Neurospora crassa OR74A: one gene and its partners. The protein of the gene in region 2 purifies or fractionates together with the protein of the main gene of each other region. This does not show direct contact. Links are inferred from orthologs where the notes say so. Each region holds a gene or a part of one and is shown on either strand. Other genes may lie near its edges. The genes, in order: NCU06491, hH2Az and NCU05587.

The links.
Region 1: the proteins of hH2Az (region 2) and NCU06491 purify together in Saccharomyces cerevisiae (affinity purification with mass spectrometry, with the first as the bait; 3 studies listed by BioGRID). This does not show direct contact. The link is inferred for Neurospora crassa OR74A from reciprocal best matches to the Saccharomyces cerevisiae genes HTZ1 and SWC5.
Region 3: the proteins of hH2Az (region 2) and NCU05587 purify together in Saccharomyces cerevisiae (affinity purification with mass spectrometry, with the first as the bait; 4 studies listed by BioGRID). This does not show direct contact. The link is inferred for Neurospora crassa OR74A from reciprocal best matches to the Saccharomyces cerevisiae genes HTZ1 and ARP6.

What each region holds. Positions count from the first base shown.
Region 1 is NC_026503.1:1,608,435-1,611,941, reverse strand, and holds NCU06491 (SWR1-complex protein 5), read right to left. Parts: upstream 2,375-3,507; 5' UTR 1,955-2,374; coding exon 1,623-1,954; intron 1,565-1,622; coding exon 868-1,564; 3' UTR 507-867; downstream 1-506. Other genes in the region: NCU06490 (hypothetical protein), read left to right, coding at 2,712-2,806, 2,866-3,507. UniProt on the Saccharomyces cerevisiae protein: Component of the SWR1 complex which mediates the ATP-dependent exchange of histone H2A for the H2A variant HZT1 leading to transcriptional regulation of selected genes by chromatin remodeling. Involved in chromosome stability.
Region 2 is NC_026502.1:1,390,013-1,393,701, forward strand, and holds the start of hH2Az (histone H2A.Z), read right to left. Parts: upstream 2,812-3,689; 5' UTR 1,693-2,811; coding exon 1,582-1,692; intron 1,091-1,581; coding exon 959-1,090; intron 850-958; coding exon 661-849; 3' UTR 1-660. UniProt on the Saccharomyces cerevisiae protein: Variant histone H2A which can replace H2A in some nucleosomes. Nucleosomes wrap and compact DNA into chromatin, limiting DNA accessibility to the cellular machineries which require DNA as a template.
Region 3 is NC_026506.1:1,416,884-1,420,632, reverse strand, and holds the start of NCU05587 (actin-like protein arp-6), read right to left. Parts: upstream 2,710-3,749; 5' UTR 2,611-2,709; coding exon 2,163-2,610; intron 2,109-2,162; coding exon 1,216-2,108; 3' UTR 793-1,215; exon of another isoform or gene 741-792; 3' UTR 601-740; coding exon of another isoform or gene 1-600. Other genes in the region: NCU05586 (malate/L-lactate dehydrogenase), read left to right, coding at 1-600; NCU05588 (topoisomerase TRF4), read left to right, coding at 3,304-3,749. UniProt on the Saccharomyces cerevisiae protein: Component of the SWR1 complex which mediates the ATP-dependent exchange of histone H2A for the H2A variant HZT1 leading to transcriptional regulation of selected genes by chromatin remodeling. Involved in chromosome stability.

The DNA of each region.
Region 1 (3,507 bases), on a different chromosome or scaffold from region 2:
AAGGGGGGTAAGGTAGAACCTCTCAAGCAAGTCTACCTTCAAGGTTATTTTCAGATCTCAAAAGGGCTTTTAAGGCGTGTGTACATAGGTAGAGGTACCCAACAACCTTGGATGGTTGAACTACCTGTTGAAGACAGGAAGTCAGACGTAGATAATCTTCCGTTGTTGAGTTTCTAGACATTCTCAACTTGGAGGAGAGGTCGTTGATCTAGTACTGAATCAGCGGAAACCAACCCCCCAAATAATCGAATAAGCTCCCAAGATACATTGGGAAATCATTGTGAACAAAGGACCAAAAAGCGTTGTCGTCGGCATCCACTGCCAGTGGCTAGGTACCCCAGACTGGTGTTATGGAGCCATTCAACAATAAAATCGTCCAAAAAAAAAAAAAGAAATTGGAAAAAAAAATCACTTCGACGTGGGCCTGATTCGAACAGACGCTCCCGAAGGAACAAGATTTCTAGTCTTGCGCGTTAGACCACTCCGCCACCACGCCAGTTGATGATTGGTTGATGATAACTGCATTGAGAAGTTGGGATCATGAGTCAGACAGCGTGGTGCATGGGTACAACTTGCCAAATGATTTCTGGATGAGAAATGCATGTTCCTTTGCAATGTGACCAGGAATTGCAAGGAATTGATATGTGACTGTGACCCTGAGTTCATGCAAGTCGTGTTTTGCTTGGTGTCTTCAACGCGTTGGAAAGTTCCGATATTGAAAACTGGGGTATCTCTATTTGGCGAACGTAAGAAATGAAATGGTGTTGCATAGTGCTGTCCTTCCAAACTTGTAGTGGTAAGGGAGACGCCATCCATACAACAATAATAGGCAAGCGACCAATGGATTGACTGGAGATCGTGACACGCTCACGTCTTCCCCGCCTGCGCCATCCTCGCCCTCCTCGCCTCCTCCTCCCTGCGCATCTCGCTCCTGGCCAAGAAATCCTGCCTCGCCGCAAACGAGTCCTTGGACTTGCCGGCCAGCTCGAGCTCGTCTTTGAGGCCCATCTTGTCGACCGCCACCGCCCAGTCCATCTTGCTCTTCTCGACCGTGTTGAGCTTCTTGGCCTTGTTGCCCGTGGCTTCGCGAGCCTGCAGGCGGGAGGCCATGCTCAGGTTGAGGTCGGAACGATGCGCCGAGTTGGCGTCGGTGATGGGCTCGAAGACGGACCGGAAAGCTTTTCGGGGCATGCGCTTGGCAGAGGAGGACTCGTCCTCGGCGGCTGTTTCGCCGTCCGCTGGAGCGTTCTCTCCGAGAGAGGCGAGATAGAGTTTTGCTTCGGCAGAATCGCGGGCAACGAGCTTTTCTTCAGTGTGGACTTTGCCGGCGAAGTTGTAGGTTCTCTTGATCTTTATGAGGTCGGAATCGGGATCTTTCGCCTTGGCTGTTTCTGGCTGCTGGGATGACGATTTCGCGATGTCACAGTTCGCTGGATCGGCGCTTTCGTCTGGTTTCGCTGTACTTGTTCGTGGTATGACCGGCTCGCTGATCATTTGCGCCCAAAGGGCATCGACGTCGATTGTAACAGGTCCGCTGGCGGCGGCTGTTGAACGTTTCTCCTTTCTGCCATTGTCGTTAATGCCCAGGACCCAAAGAGAAGAGGGTTGATGTGAGAACATACTCAACAGCGCGTTGGCTGCGCGTCTTGATGAGACCGCCCTCGCCAGTTTCCTCATCGTCGGCAGCAAGTTTTGTCTTTGTTTTCTTTTGACGTTTCTCCCCCTTCTTTATTATAGCTTCATCTCCAGAATTGTCATAACCAGCGTCTTCCGCCTCCTCGATGGCAGCGCGTTTCCTCTTCTCGGGTTTCGCTTTCTCGGCATCTTCACCGGCTTCTTCGTCGTCATCGTCGGATATTGATGATTCTCCCGCGGCTTCGGCAGTTTCTGGGGCGAAGTCGGAGTCTTCCTCTGACGCGTAGTCTTCTGCAAGAAGCTCTAGTGTTGGCGCCATCTTGGTATCTCGCGAATATAACAGTCTGGTCTTCCTCAAGCTATTCGCGTAAAATTCTCGTTGCCGTGTGTGTCGTCGTTCCAAGAATGGTACCTCTTCCAAGTATCGTGGGCCGGAATATTAAAGTGGAAAAGTGATGAAGGGAACAAGGACGGGATCCATGTCTTTGTCCGATCGACTGCAGCGTGACAGTGGAAACACAAACGCTCTGTTAGCAGCCAATAGGGCAGCTTGCCGTCATGTCGCCGCTGTTCGGCTCAAGCTCCCCCGCATCACGCCCACACCTTCCTTGATGTCCCGCTGAAAACGCCCCGCAACCGGGAACCTTTTTAGAGTTCCGTTACTATCATCCGATGACAAGCTGGATCTGCCCCTGACGACGGGATGTTGTCAACCACACCACTGGGACATGATGTTCAGGTTCAGAAAGGCCGCTATCACGAAAATGGAAAACTGGTGATGCCGTACTCTCCAATAAACCTGGCGATATCCAATAGGGTATTTCTGGTTAAACCAAAAACCACCCCGCCGGTTACACGTAGCCTAGGGCGCCTACGGAGCAAGGATGGATTACCTAGCTGCCTCGTGGCGCAGTGTGAGGCGGCATTCCATTCGGAGTCCGGAGTTGTCGTGACAGTCGGATTGATTAGCCTGGGTTAGTTTCTGGCGGGATCTTGAAAAGAGTATATAAGGGTAGAGATAGCTTGTCGGCCCCGTTCCAGTCTATAGCCTTGTTCTTTACGCTACTTTCTACAGGATGTGTCCCAAAGGCAACATCACACTGAACATGTCGTCGTCATCTGCTCTGAGTCTTGAAGAGAAGGAACACTTCCTCACTCATGGCTGGGTCAAGTAGGTGTCATGCCACCATACCAGCTGTTCAACCTCGTTCGAGGTACTGACCATGCCAGGATCCCGGCTGCCTTCACGCAGCAGAGAGCACAGGAAATCATCGCCAATGTTTGGACGAGACTAGGAATGGATCCAAACGACAAGTCCACCTGGAACAAAGAACGTGTCAACATGCCCTCACATATGGAGTTCGACGCTGCAGACTTTGCCCCTCGTGCCTGGGCAGCCATCAGCGAGCTTTGCGGCGGCGAGGATAAGATCGCGAACTGGTCGAAGAAGTGGAAGGACTCCCTTATCGTCAACCTGGGCACACCACAGAAAGAAGGGAAACCAGTCCCCCCGCAAAAGCTGGACAATTGGCACGTCGATGGTGACTTCTTCGTCCACTACCTTGACAGCCCGGAGCAGGGCCTGCTCGTCATTCCTCTCTTCACCGATATCATGCCCGAGGGCGGCGGGACCATGATCTGTCCGGAGGCAATCCCTATCCTCGCCAAACACCTGTACGAGCATCCCGAGGGTGTCTCGCCACGTATGGCACCCCGCAGCGATGCCGAGTTCAAGCAAGAGCAGCATCTCAACTGGTTCAACAACACGGCCAAGGGTTGCACCCAGTTTGTCGAGGCAACAGGCAAGGTCGGAGACGTGTACTTACTTCATCCGCTGATGCTGCACTCGGCCTCCAGCAACGCGAAGAGGAA
Region 2 (3,689 bases):
ATTCCGCCACTACCTGCAACCAGTACCAACCGACACGTTCATTTAACGTGTCCTGATGTTTTCCTCGCTAAGCCCTCATGGCCGAGTCGTACTATAAAAAAAACGATAAAGAAGATTCATGTTGTTACAGATATCGTAAAAGAGCTGCTGTCGCACGCCGCGCCGTGACGAGGGGAGATTGCTCGCCGTTCCCAGTGTGTGGTGCACTCCAAGATGACATTATACAGTGAATGGTCTCCCTGCTCATCGCCACCCAAGCGGCTTCCACGTCTGGATGATACAGAACGCTTCGCTTTTCGTGTGTGTTCCGAACGCACCACTCTGCTGGAAGTGTCGCAAGGGAAGTTCGCCGTCGTCTATGCGCTGCGCTTGTTGCCGTCGCAGACACCGGGAGTGCTCGGCTTTTTCAAGCCATGGTTCGGTGGGCCCCAAGCCCGTGTGCGTATCCCAACAACAAATAATAGGAAGAAAATACCCAACAATACAGCGGCGTTAGTGTTGGATTAGCGAAGACAATCCCCAACCCCCCCGGCATCACCCCGTGACATCCCTTGAACAAGCCGATTGCTGTCCTGCCCGTCAGCCCGGAGCGGGGCTAGAGAGATGCAAGACAGTGTGCGAAACGTGTGCGACGTCGAGTTTTTCGGTGCAGTTGTGGACTTAAGCCTCCTGAGCCTTGGCCTTCTTCTTCTGCTCTACCTTGAGCAGAAGGGCGCGGTTAATGTGGGGGAGGACACCACCGAAGGCGATAGTGGCGCGGATGAGGGTATCAAGCTCCTCATCTCCACGGATGGCAAGCTGAAGATGGCGGGGAGTAATACGCTTGACCTTCAGGTCCTTGGCAGCGTTCTATACAACGGAAATCATTGAGTTAGCCATAAAGCAGGTAAAACTTGGAAATGGGAGCCTCCTCGTCGCCAAGCAATATGGCCGAGCGGATGGGGTATGAATGACTTACACCCGCAAGTTCGAGGACTTCAGCAGTCAAATATTCCAGCACGGCAGTAACATAGACGGCAGCCTTGGCGCCAACGCGCATCTTGTTTTGGGTGTTCTGCTTCAGGAAACGCTTGACACGACCGCAAGGGAACTAATTAGATTCAAGTCAGCATGGCGCATCAGACACACGGCAAACTCCAGAGGACGGAAATGCACGCCGCAGCTCCGCCTCGTTGTCAGAGCGAGAAATCCAAAGTTAGGGACCGGAACAAGGTCCGGGTGCGGGGCCAGGGCGAGAGAAGGATGCACAGAACAACGCGTCCATATGAAGCCGAAATAGTATCGCGTACGGGGCGCAATGGGGGTTTTTTTCTTTTACCCAGCGGCGGGGTTGTGTGCGACCGACGTGTGAGGCAGCGAGTTCGCGTTCTTCGTAGGTTGGCACTATGGGGTTGTCCGGAAATGTAGGGGGCTCGGTGGACGCGTTGTGGTGTATCGGCGTGATTCCATCGACATCTGACGACAGGGATGGCGGATGCGAGCAAAAAAAAAGTTGGTTGATGAGACGACGTCGATGGTGCAGATCGGAGCAGGAATTGAAAGCGGACAGAGCCATGAAGCTCGTCAACTATAAAAACGTACCTGAAGACCAGCGCGAGCAGAATGGCTCTGCTGCTTCTTGGGACCTTCGACGCCCGAGGTCTTTCCACCCGAGCTCTTGCCGCCAGACGACTTGCCCTTTCCGCCAGCCATTGTGTTTGTTTGTTTGTTTGAAGGGATTGAACGGGGTGGGATGGTTGTGCGCGGGATGGGCGGATGGACGTAGTGTCGAGAATAAAACCGGTGGTCGTGACGATGCTGGATGTTGATATTGACGGGGCAACGGCGCGGGATTTGCGTGGAACTGGTGGAAGTGGATGAAGCGGGGTTGGCGGATGGAAAAGTGGTGTTTTGGCCGGAAGGATGATCGCGACGAGGTTTGGTGTTGAAGTTGGCGCCAGGAGACGCTCGAAAATTCAGAAGGGCCGAAGATGCATGCCACTGATGGGCCCTTTGATGTTGTGTCCTTCCAGGTGATTGCCCGCCGTGTTTGAGCGCAACCGCGCCTGAGACATGCGTCCGTACAGGAGGGAAGGTGCCGACGTCCAAGCTAAGCGAAGGGATGGAAGCTCGAGCTCAGTCAGCTAACAGCCAGCTCCCGTGGGTGCTTTGCTTGCCGTGTGTGCTGATTTGTCGCTGTTGCTGATTTTTTTTTTTTTTTTTTTTTTTTTTTTTTTTCCTCCTCCGCAGAGGGAGGGTAGGTAGGTTAGTGTAGGTAGGTAGGTAGGTACCTTGGGGTAACCTTGGGTACGGCGAGCCAAGCAGACCACTTGACCAATTCGAAGGGAGCTCCGAGGCTTGGCAATATCATGAAGCTCCAGGCAAAGGCCCAGCCAGCAAGGCCTCGAGCCAGCCATGACGACCCAGTGAGGTCCATCTCGAGACAGATAGCCAGACCTCAACTCAGCCTCGCAAGGGCCGTGGCTGACACGGTCTTGCAGAGAACCTTGCCGACATCTCCGCAATGAACGGCCCAAGAAAAGGCCTCCCAGGACAAGTCCATGTGATGCAAGGGGAGTCGCATACCTCACTGTTGCCCGACGTTGAGAGCACCTTTCTGGTTTGAAGCCATGCAGAGATCCGCGACGGGCACTGTCCGGGCCGGCCACCCAGCTGGTTAAGGCGGGCCAAAAGCCGTCAGAGTCTTTGGCAATGAAGGCCTGAGCATCTTCACAGCAGATTTGCACGCTTTTCCGAGGCTGGCGTGGTGTTGCAGAGTGTCTTGAAATGTTGCTCAGATAGTGTGATTCGGAGCCTTGGGTGAGCCTTTGCCAATCTGCCGCTGGTTGTTGTGGTCCGTGACCTTACTCCAAAAACTCGTCGCAGCCGTGCCAAGCTTTCACGTTACGACATTTCAACTGGCGCAGTGTCTGCCAGCTGTCTGCGCTTGAGCAGACCGAGCTGTCTGTTTTCAGTGGTGACTGAGGTTCAATTCACAACGAACTATGTAAGCTCCCAACATGAACGCTTCAAACAACGTAAATCGTGCAAAGATGCACACAGTAATTGTGTGCCTTCTTCACCACTCTTCAATTCCCTCTCGCAATCCTCGCCAACCTCTCAGCCTCACATCTCCGTCTTTCCACTCTCTGCAATACCTCCAGCCTATGACGGTCGTTGCTGATCGGGTCCTGATGCCCCGAAACCCGATCCGATACTTGGGTGGTAGTGTCGTGGATGTATCTGTTCATCATGGAGCCGTACTCTCTTCTTCTGGTGACACAAGATGCATTAGATAACTACTTTTGCCATTCCGCCTGTAATATGGAAGCCTTTGGATTATGTTTGTAGCTCAACAGCCAACTACCAAAGGGATGCCGACGTACGACGGGATTCTAGGATTGGGAAAAAGATAAAAAGAAACCATGGCAAGACCCACTTCGGAGCTTGGGCCGGTGCGGGTAGATCCCCGGCTCCCGATGTGGGGCCGACCGCCGCGCCATTTGAGCCATTGCCGCTACCGGTGTTGCCAGCACCGCCGCTGTAATATGTGCTCATGATGAAATGTACTATCCGACTGTCGTATATAGTGTACGCTACTCCAGCGGGAAACTCAGTAGGTAAAGATGATGGATAGAGGTAGCATGGTAAGTAAGGTGGTGTGCATAGGTCTACTTCGAGGAAAGAAAAAAAGACTTTGTTCTCAGGCA
Region 3 (3,749 bases), on a different chromosome or scaffold from region 2:
ATGATGGGTGTAAGCCCCATCGCCTGTGGAGCGCCGGGTGGGAAGGGCGAGGGGTCGAAGCCGTTCATCTTGGACATGGCCCCGTCGGTCGCAGCGAGGGGCAAGATCTATAAGGCGCTGAGGAGGGGAGAGAAGATACCGACTGACTGGGCTTTGGATGGGGAGGGCAAGCAAACTGATGATCCGGCCAAGGCGCTGGAAGGCGTGATGCTGCCTATGGGTGGGCCAAAGGGGTCGGCGCTGGCGATCATGATGGATGTCTTCTCCGGCGTGCTTTCGGGTTCTGCGTTTGCTGGAGGCGTCACGGGGCCGTATGATATGTCCAAGCCGGGGGACGTTGGCCACTTCTTCGTGGCCATCAAGCCTGACTTGTTCATGAGCCTGGACGAGTTCAGGGAACGCATGGATATCCTATACCAGAAAGCGGTGAACTCGGAGAAGATGCATGGCGTCGACAGAATTTACTTCCCGGGCGAGATTGAGCAGCTGAACGAGGAGCAGAGATTGAAAGATGGCATACCATATGCCAAGGCAGAGATTGATGCTCTGAATGCAGAGGCTGAAAAGCTAGGCTTGGGCAAGATCCGATTGATAGAGTAGAGCTTCATATATATTGGGTTATTTGCACCTTTGGAGGTGAAATGGGCCAAATTCTTCGTCTGAGCCAAGTTTGTTTAAAATAAAGAAGCTGCAGGCGATCACAACAAACCACTGATGAGGACGATGGTGTGATTTGGTCTCTTTCCGAGGGTTAGCGTTGATCCTTTTTTCAAACCATTTTGAAAACTTTACCAAAGGCAGCATCATGGGTATCACAAGGGTGGCAAGTAGCTCGCCCTCAGAAACTCTGATACCTGCTTTTCCGTGTAGAGCTGTAGGTAGCTGAGATCAGTTGCGCGGTTTTGCCCCAGTGCATCTCAATCAAGATCAACACCCAGTCTATACACCCAGCCCATCGAGACAGAGTCTTGGTGTTCTGGCATGGCACGGCAGGGTTTCGGATTGAACGGCGCTTTTCAGACAGAGTGTATGGCACTCAACGTCCAGAGACAGGCAAGAAGCAAAGCGTACTAGCCCACCCTGCTCATTTTTGTCTGGGTAGTATCCAGCCGGGCACTCAATCAAGCAGCATAGGGAGCCGCTTGGCAATCGCTTTATGGGCTAATGAACCCTGGAAAGCTTCAAAAATGGCAATAATAGACTCCAAGCAAATGCTCAGGGGTCGAGTCCGAGCCCAGCAGCAAATTTTCTTGCCACCCAAGCAGCTCCATGTTCCTCATACTCTTGCTTGGTGACCTCGAGCTTACTGGCATGTTCATGCTTGGCGAAATTGGCAGCTCCCAACCAGGTGCTGATGATAGGGTCTTCCGGGCGGGCAACTCTGACCCTGCATTCATCGGGGAATCGCTTGAGAATCTCTGTTTGCAAGCGCTGACAGAACCCTTCAGAGAGACTGTTTCCTCCCACAACTACGATATTAGCCAGAAGGCCAGGCCACAGTCCAATTGGCACAGCCAAGAGGGACTGCTTGACTAGGTCGGCGATGCCAGGTTGCCGGATGCCGATATCAGAAGGGTTGAAGAGGAGCTCTGGAACAACAAAACGCTCGTTCCGTAGCGTCAGGACGTCCTCTGTGGATACAATGCCCTTGCGGGCGCGCGCCGAGACACCAGGCTCGTAGTCGCGGACAACACCGTGGAAGCGCGTGTGGGAGTCGGGCAGAACGTAGTCTTTGGCGATGCCAGCACCGCTCAAGTAGTCCTCCCTCTTTTCGCCGCGCGTCCCTTTCCAAGTCTTTTCCAGGTCTCCCTTGAAGTCCAGGGAGGTGTAACAGACTGCTTCTTTCATCTCGTTCACAATGTATGGTTCGTTGCGCATGTCGAAGTGGCGGACGGACAGTAACCTGGTGAGATAATTGGTCATGAGCTTGCCACCCACATCAAGTCTTCGTATGGCCGGATGTAGCGGTCGGCCTTGGAGGATAGGCGTAACGGTGGTGTGAGAGTAACCCGAGTCGATGAGCAGGATGACTTGGGCTGGACTGTCTATGGTGGATTGGGGTGTTCGGAAGATGGATTGTATGTCCCGGTACGCGTTGAAGACAGGACCTAGAAAACAAGGTCAGCACCCTTTCCCTAACAGCTCTCTAGGAGGCGACATACCCAGGCCACGGTAGTAACTCGCAAAGCCATACTCCTCAAAGACGATCTGGTCACAGTGTGTTTGGAGAGAAGGCAATGAATTTGGTTGCTCTGTGAGAATGAGCCTGGTGTCTGATGGGTCGCATTTCTGCGCAGCTTTATCGTCGAAGAACTCGCGATCCCAGATCTCTTTCTGGGCCTCCCAGTTGACGATAAAGCCCTTTTCGACGGGGCGCCTGAAGGCCAATTCGCTGAAGTCCTTGCATTTTTCGAGTTCCGAGCCGACATAGATCTTCCTGTGACGGTCTCGAGCGAGGCAATTCGGAATGATGCGAGGCTTGCCGTCGCTCTTGTCATCGGAGACGAATCCAGCCTTGATGGTGTCGGCGCCGTTGTCGAGAACCAGGGTTGTCGTGGGGGGTGCCGGCCCTGCCGCCCGGGACTTTTTAGCCCCTCCTCGTCCGGTCATGACAGTACTGAAACAACAGCTGCTGACAATTGAATCCCTCTCGCGCCCCGGCCCTCGTAGCTTGAAGTGCGTGGGAGAGTCGCGTCGCGGTTGTTGTCGCAAGAACCGTCAATTGTTTGGGTTTCCACTTGCATCGACGACGGGACCTGCTGATAAGGGGAACGATAAGGGTTGTCAGTGCCACCCGGACCTCGACGGGCTGGGGTTCTCTTGCTTGGCATTTCATCATTTCCGCCGCCGCAAGTGTACACTAAAGACTCGCTGACCTGACAGCGCCGGAGAGTGAGAACGGAACCTGCCGGCGCCTGCCACTGCGGCAGCGGGCACAACACACCGGAGACACACACACACAGCGCAGCCTAGGGCCTTGTGGAAATCTCGACTGGGACCGGGCAGCCCTGCCTTCCGTCATCCATCACTTCACTTCCACTGTTGAGAGCACACTCCCGCTCCCGTCACGGCAACTGAACTCTGCAACCCGACCACTACAAATCCCATCAATGTTGCCCCACTCAACTTTTACCTCTGACTTTTAAAAAAAAATTAAATGACAAGGTGAACATTTCCACCTCTCAGCGTATTTTGCCCCCCTTGTGGAATCAACCTCATCCTCTTGTGCTCCGATACCGAGCACTCACTCGATGCGCTTTATCGTGGTCAGTATCGCATAAACCCATAACTGCTAGTTTTAGCATGTCACAACGATACCAGAACGGCGGTGGCGGCGGCGGCGGTCGACGTCGTGGTAACGACCCTCGGGACGACCGCAATGGCTATCAACAACGCGCGCCGAATGGCCCTCATGGTCTCCCTGCCCGACCTCCCCAGCCGACATCGTACCGTCCCTCCGACAACTACTCCAACCGCAACAACGGTGGCGGTGGCGGTGGAAGAGATCGCGACAATTACCGGCCTCCTCAGGGTGATTTCTCGTTTAGAGTAGAGAAGCCGCCGGGAGTCAGCAATTCGAGCTACGACAACTACCGTCCCAACGACAACAGGCAGTCCTACAATGGCCGCAGAGCCCACTCTCCCAGAGGCGATCGTCGCCACGGAAGACCCAGTGGCCGTGGACGAGGCCGCAACGCTGGCCCCCACGGAGGTTTTAGGAAACCGTGGCGTCCTTTTGTTGCGGCTGA